Xenopus tropicalis: one gene and its partner. The protein of the gene in region 2 binds, or shares a complex with, the protein of the main gene of each other region. Links are inferred from orthologs where the notes say so. Each region holds a gene or a part of one and is shown on either strand. Other genes may lie near its edges.

Region 1 (3,679 bases), on a different chromosome or scaffold from region 2:
AGTTTGGGTTTGGTGAGACCAGGGCCAAGCCTGCTGTAGAGAGATTATTAATTCAACATACTAAAATGTTAATGCAGACACACAGAATGTACTGGATAACTCCAGATAGTCCTATAGCGAAATTATATAGTATAATATGAGCACTAGACAAAAAGTTACCAAATAGCAATGAATTATCACTATGTTTGTATATCGATAAATAATTATATTATAGTACGGCAATGAAGAAACGCCTCAATGACAGAGCGCAACAGTGCCCTAATGAAGGGCTGCAGATGATACAGCATCCTAAAAAGATATACTGCAGCAGATTATATTAATGTGCCATACATCTCCTCTCTGAACTGTAAAGGGAAAACTGTTGAAACACATACTGTATTCAATAGAATGACCAGACTTCCTGCAGTTTTACATATGCTGTAAAGTACAGATAGGAACAGGAAGAGAGGGAAAATAGCCAAAGAAGAGGCCATAGTGTAACACTAGGGCAATACCCCAGGGAAAATAAAAGACTTAGAACATATGCCAAGAATTATTGGTGAAACACTGCGTCCATAAAAAGCTGTTTAGGAGTTAAAACTAAACCAGCCTATAAATATATGGTAAAAGATCATAATATTAAAGAGCTTGCTCCATGTGTCCCAATATAAAATGTAACTGCCGGACTGTGTATATAGAAATGAAAGTATTTGCTATACAAATAATACTGAGTCTTAACGACAGATTAACACTGATGAAATGTTCTTTGGTAATAATTTAATACCATATTCACCACTTTTGCACCCCTGCATCATAATACTCATACTTACAGTTTGGATGCAAACACCGGCTTATTGCGCATATCCCAAAGGCTTTGCGACTGACTGCGATGGTAGGCACAATTCGGCCATGGTTCAGATTGAACCCTCACAGGCCCCACACAGGCTATAATACCCGGACCTGGAGCTTCAGCAGGTAGAGCTCAGACATCCTGCCGGTACTAGGGGTGAGCTCGAGTGACAGAAAATGAGATGGATGCCTGGGGGCGGGGAGCCAAATTTATTGAGAACTTGTTAATTATGGTCACGTGACAGGGGATTAACCCATAGTTGCCCACTGCCATGCGAAGGAACAGGAAAGACTCTCTGCCCCACTCCCTGTAAGCTTCCATCTGGGTGTTCTAGTCCCACCCACTGCCTGAGTCACAGACCCTCTGCCACGCTCCCTGTAAGCTTCCATCTGGGTGTTCTAGTCCCACCCACTGCCTGAGTCACAGACTTTTTGCTCCCTGTAAGCTTCCATCTGTGTGTTCTAGTCAACTATTATTAGAATACATGTTTTTGGGGGGCAATATGAAGCTATTAAATGTCTGGTTTCCTGCAGGAAATGTTAAAAGGTTTAAACCTTGGTGAAATGAAATGTGGCCTGCCGGTGTTGGCCGTGTCCCTCGCTCTGGAAGGGAAAGCCAGCCACCGGGAAATGACATCCAAGCTTCTCTCCCATCTCTGTGGGACCCTACTTAGCACTGAGGATGTAGAACGTTCATTCGACAAACTCCTCCAGGAGATGCCGGAACTGGTTTTGGATACACCCCAAGCTCCACAGGTTTGTTCATGTGCGATATGGCATTTTCACTATTATTGGTGCAAATCCACAGGTTGCACATCAGTGTCATAAAATAGATTTGTTGTTGGGATCTTCACTTAGAAAATGAATCAACTTTGATGCCCTGAAATCTCCAGAACAAAAAGCTAAAAACAGAAAAATCAATAAAAAAATAACATTAAATTGCAAGTTTTTGTGTCATACTAAATATTCATGCTCTGCCTTCCCTTTTTTTTATTAGCAAACAGTGCTTGTGCTCTGCCATAACAAATATCCACTTAGGAGGGAGAGGGCACACAGGACTTTTTCATAAATTTATTTATCTACCTGACGAAAGCTCCTGTGTGGAGCTGAAACGTTGGTCTCAATAAACCTCTGATTTATTCTATTTTTGGTCTTGCGACTCTTTTGTGAAAATCCTGTGTGCCGTCACTCCAGCCTGTATATATCTATATGCACACTGCCTTTGCTCACAGTGTTATCTTTTCAGTTGGTGGGCCAGTTTATTGCCAGAGCTGTTGGAGACGAGATCCTGAGCGCCACTTACTTAGACGGCTACAGAGGGACAGTGGACTGCGTTCATGCTCGGTGAGTTTTTCCTTGGGCAACCCATCCAGGAAAATGTCCGCTATGGAGTTTGTATCTCAGCCAGCCAATCATAGCAAAATATCTCTGCGACGACCAATTAATGAAACGTATTTGTTAGCTAGCAAATTTAAGTTTCCATAGCCAAGACATGAAATAATACAGTTTATTTGGTAATTAAAGAAAATGCTTTAACTGACTAAACACACCCTGTATCCCTGTATGTACAGTGGAGGAAATAATTATTTGACCCCTCACTGATTTTGTAAGTTTGTCCAATGACAATGAAATGAAAAGTCTCAGAACAGTATCATTTCAATGGTAGGTTTAACAGTGGCAGATAGCACATCAAAAGGAAAATGGAAAAAATAACTTTAAATAAAACATAGCAACTGATTTGCATTTCATTGAGTGAAATAAGTTTTTGAACCCCTACCAACCATTAAGAGTTCTGGCTCCCACAGAGTGGTTAGACACTTCTACTCAATTAGTCAACCTCATTAAGGACACCTGTCTTAACTAGTCACCTGTATAAAAGACACCTGTCCACAGAATCAATCAATCAAGCAGATTCCAAACTCTCCAACATGGGAAAGACCAAAGAGCTGTCCAAGGATGTCAGAGACAAAATTGTAGACCTGCACAAGGCTGGAATGGGCTACAAAACCATTAGCAAGAAGCTGGGAGAGAAGGTGACAACTGTTGGTGCGATTGTTGGAAAATGGAAGGAGCACAAAATGACCATCAATCGACCTCGCTCTGGGGCTCCACGCAAGATCTCACCTCGTGGGGTGTCAATGATTCTGAGAAAGGTGAAAAAGCATCCTAGAACTACACGGGAGGAGTTAGTTACTGACCTCAAATTAGCAGGGACCACAGTCACCAAGAAAACCATTGGAAACACATTACACCGCAATGGATTAAAATCCTGCAGGGCTCGCAAGGTCCCCCTGCTCAAGAAGGCACATGTGCAGGCCCGTCTGAAGTTTGCCAATGAACACCTGAATGATTCTGTGAGTGACTGGGAGAAGGTGCTGTGGGCTGATGAGACCAAAATAGAGCTCTTTGGCATTAACTCAACTCGCTGTGTTTGGAGGAAGAAAAATGCTGCCTATGACCCCCAAAACACCGTCCCCACCGTCAAGCATGGGGGTGGAAACATTTTGCTTTGGGGGTGTTTTTCTGCTAAGGGCACAGGACAACTTATTCGCATTAACGGGAAAATGGACGGAGCCATGTATCGTGAAATCCTGAACGACAACCTCCTTCCCTCTGCCAGGAAACTGAAAATGGGTGGTGGATGGGTGTTCCAGCACGACAATGACCCAAAACATACAGCAAAGGCAACAAAGGAGTGGCTCAAGAAGAAGCACATTAAGGTCATGGAGTGGCCTAGTCAGTCTCCGGACCTTAATCCAATAGAAAACCTATGGAGGGAGCTCAAGCTCAGAGTTGCACAGAGACAGAAACCTTAGGGATTTAGAGATGATCTGCAAAGAGGAGTGGGACC
Region 2 (3,457 bases):
CTTGGATTGTAAGCTCTGTGGGCCAGAGTGTGCGGTATTAATATGCTCACTACCCATCAGCAAAGAGGAATCTGCCATAGAAGTGCCTATAATGTGTAGCTCCACCCCCCGTCACTGGGCAAGGGCATGTCACGTGGCATCGCTGCTTATATCTGGCGGGGGCAGAGAAACCTCCCATATTCATCCCAGCGCTGTGCCCCCATGCCTGCTGGCTGGTTCATGCTGTGGGCACAAATGCCAGGAAGGGGGGATCCAGCTGTGAGTGGGGCGGAGCATACATTGAGTACGTTGTCGCGTGGCGCCAGTGCAGCACTCACTCCGCTCTGTATCCGCAGCCCCTAAATACATAAAGATGTTCGTGTTGGATGAAGCCGACGAGATGTTGAGTAGAGGTTTCAAGGATCAAATCTACGACATATTCCAGAAGCTGAGCAGTAATGCCCAGGTAAGTGCCCGCAGCCTCTGCCTGATTGGCCTAACCTCCCCGGCTATAGTCCCACCCTCACGGGGCACGTGCTGAGCAACAACATCCTGCCCCGAGGTACCACATTCCCTCTGTCTTGTGGTTTGTACAATGCTGCACTGATTGGAGAACGACTCCCTGTACAGCCAATGAGAGCTCATGCCCTCCCCCTGTCATTTCCTCTCAGCCAATGAGACCTTATGCCCTCCCCCTGGCATCTATTGGCCAATAAGACTGTTCATGGTTGCCCCCAGACTCACTTTCCAATGGGGGCTCAGTGTAGTGATGATATCCCATGCGTGTCATCTGATGCCCACGTCTCTCTCTGCCCTTGGCCTGCGCAGCCTGCGTCCTGCGGGTTGGGTTTGGCTAGAGCAGAGGAGTCTGGGAAATGATCTGACTGTCTATCTGAATACTTGCCCCCCTTGGAACATGAAGAGGCAATTGGCTTGGTGCTGGGCAGTTAGTGGCTGCAGATTAACAGTGTCTTCTCCCCCAGGTGGTTTTGCTCTCGGCCACCATGCCCGCCGACGTGCTCGAGGTGACCAAGAAGTTCATGCGGGACCCCATCCGGATCCTGGTTAAAAAGGAGGAGCTGACCCTGGAGGGTATTAGGCAGTTCTACATCAACGTGGAGCGAGAGGTAGGTGCCTTCCTCTGGGTTCCATTGGCCCTGGGGGGTGGAGCAGTCGTTGGGATTGCACCATTACCCCCTCATAGGGGAAAGCCAATAGGAAAGCTTTAGTATATGGGGGGGGGCGAGGGTGGAAGGTGCCCCGTCACTGGGCAAGGACTGGTCTGTCTGTGACTGTGCTTCTTATATCTGGTGGGGCGAGAGCAGCGGCCCATATTCATCCCAGCGCGGCTCCTCTGTGCCTGACGGCTGGTTCATGCTGTGGGGACACTTGTAGTGAGGGAGGGGCCAGGCTGGATGGGGAGGAGCTTCCTTTTGCTGAACCCCTTTTGCCCCCCGATGCAGGAGTGGAAGCTGGACACATTGTGTGACCTGTACGAGACACTGACCATCACGCAGGCCGTAATCTTCATAAACACGCGCCGGAAGGTGGATTGGCTGACGGAAAAGATGCACGCGAGGGACTTCACTGTCTCCGCCCTGGTGAGTTTTGCCATCGGCCGCCTGTGGGGGTGCCATGATTGCACCCAACCCCCGTCACTGGGCAAGGACTGGTCATGTGACTATGCTTCTTATATCTGGCGGGGGGAGAGGAAATGATCCCATGTTCATCCCAGCGCGGCCCCCCCTGTGCTCGACAGCTGGTTCATGCAGTGGGGACACGGCCCCCTGGTGGTTTCTAGAGAGGAATTCTCACCCCCTTGTTCCCCCCCCAGCACGGCGACATGGACCAGAAGGAGAGAGACGTCATTATGAGGGAGTTCCGATCTGGATCCAGTCGGGTTCTGATTACCACAGATTTGCTGGTGAGTTGGTTGGTTCTGCTTGTGGGGCAACCCGCTTGGTTCTGCTTGTGGGGGTGTTCGCTTACAATGTGTTCTGCCCACAGGCCCGAGGCATTGATGTCCAGCAGGTCTCACTGGTCATTAACTATGATCTGCCGACCAACAGGGAGAACTACATCCACAGGTAAGTGGGCCGGCTCCTATTGGGCCAAGGGTATTCCCTCTCTGGCCAGTAGCCCATGCTGGTGTCAGAATGTAGACCCTTGGTATAGTAACGTCCATGCTCCACCGCGGTTCATGCTGCCTTTGTGTTCCGCAACTTAAACATGGCCGACACGCCGCTAACTGTGGCTCCTCCCCCTCTAACCTGTCCTGTTCCTTTAGGATTGGCCGAGGGGGCCGTTTCGGTAGGAAAGGAGTTGCCATTAACATGGTGACAGAGGATGACAAGCGCACGCTGAAAGACATAGAGACTTTCTACAACACCACAGTCGAGGAGATGCCCATGAACGTGGCCGACCTCATCTAACGCCCCCGCCGCAGTCGGAGGGGCAGAAAAACCCGAAAAAAACAGAAAAAAGCATAAAATGAAAATAAAAAGTCGGCCCCGGCTTTCTTTGGGGCATCCGCTGAATTATGGGGGTGTATAGAGCAATGACCATAGCGCCCCTGAGTGGGCGTAGCCTCCACTCCCTGTCACATGATCTGATTTTCTTTCCAATAAATGTTATTTTGAGGTATTGTGGCCGTAACCTGCATCCGTTGTTTCTTTCCTTCTGAAGTGAACACTAAACGTCACTTTTTCCCACCAAATCAGTGGACCAAAGTCCCCCCCAGCTCATCCCTTTAAGATCCGGCAGCTCAATGTGAGTTTTTTCTTTTTTTTTTTTTTACAAAACTCCCCAAAATTTAAAAAATACCATTTTATTTGCTTTTTCTGTATAGTATTTATTAAATAAAAATTTTTGCAACATAGTTTTGTCTCCTGTCTTAAGGCTTCACCCCCCTGCCCCCCAATAACCCCCCTTGTTTTATTACCCCCCGTGTAGGCGCTGTTTTTGGTGGGAAAGGATTTTCGGGCTGTGCTGCCCTCGCACGACTCAAGCGTCTATAGATAGATTGCGCCGATGATGGTTCCCGAGCTGCAATATGATTGGCCGTGGCACTTAACGCTTTAAGTGCTTGGCCATATGTCTCCCAGGTGCTCTGTTGCCTAGCAACGCATATTCCCTGTAGGGAAATAACATGGAAATGTATTCTGTGAATTGGTGACTGTGCCGAGCGTTACTGGGGGGGAGGGACATTCTCAGTTGGCTGGGAGCCCCCCTGTATTGCTCAGCCATGGTCCCTTATTAGGAGGGGCCCCATTTCCCTGCCCTAGTTACCCCATGCCTATTGCTATGTAATTAGTGCCCCTATTCCCATCAGCAGCTCTTCCTGCCCCGGTACATAGGGCATAACCTGCTAATGGGGCAGTTGGAATGTTGGTGGGATCAGGGTCTTTCTGGAAAACGCGAGCTGTTGGGAAATGTGCTTGTGGGCTCAGCACTTTCCCACAGAGCCGCTGCCCCATTG

The links. The genes of interacting proteins can lie anywhere in the genome.
Region 1: the proteins of eif4a1 (region 2) and pdcd4 are in contact, whole or in part, in a crystal structure (PDB 2ZU6), measured with the Homo sapiens proteins. The link is inferred for Xenopus tropicalis from reciprocal best matches to the Homo sapiens genes EIF4A1 and PDCD4. Residues at the interface, in NP_001407.1 of Homo sapiens: Gln75, Thr109, Arg110, Glu111, Ile135, Gly137, Val140, Thr158, Gly160, Arg161, Asp164, Glu186, Leu188, Ser189, Arg190, Gly191, Phe192, Gln195, Ala214, Thr215, Met216, Pro217, Glu240, Leu241, Thr242, Asn280, Thr281, Arg282, Arg283, Thr329; in NP_055271.2 of Homo sapiens: Pro170, Gln173, Glu174, Glu177, His178, Glu183, Glu186, Met187, Asp190, Leu209, Glu210, Lys212, Glu249, Leu250, Leu252, Asp253, Thr254, Pro255, Arg256, Gly320, Gln321, Gln322, Ser323, Val324, Leu327, Glu348, Lys352, Glu355, Val356, Pro357.

The regions. Positions count from the first base shown.
Region 1 is NC_030683.2:2,643,267-2,646,945, reverse strand, and holds part of pdcd4 (programmed cell death protein 4), read left to right. Parts: intron 1-1,362; coding exon 1,363-1,584; intron 1,585-2,074; coding exon 2,075-2,172; intron 2,173-3,679. UniProt on the Homo sapiens protein: Inhibits translation initiation and cap-dependent translation. May excert its function by hindering the interaction between EIF4A1 and EIF4G. Inhibits the helicase activity of EIF4A. Modulates the activation of JUN kinase.
Region 2 is NC_030679.2:152,585,957-152,589,413, reverse strand, and holds the end of eif4a1 (eukaryotic initiation factor 4A-I), read left to right. Parts: intron 1-335; coding exon 336-445; intron 446-739; exon of another isoform or gene 740-880; intron 881-962; coding exon 963-1,106; intron 1,107-1,442; coding exon 1,443-1,580; intron 1,581-1,813; coding exon 1,814-1,903; intron 1,904-1,986; coding exon 1,987-2,066; intron 2,067-2,266; coding exon 2,267-2,411; 3' UTR 2,412-2,857; downstream 2,858-3,457. UniProt on the Homo sapiens protein: ATP-dependent RNA helicase which is a subunit of the eIF4F complex involved in cap recognition and is required for mRNA binding to ribosome.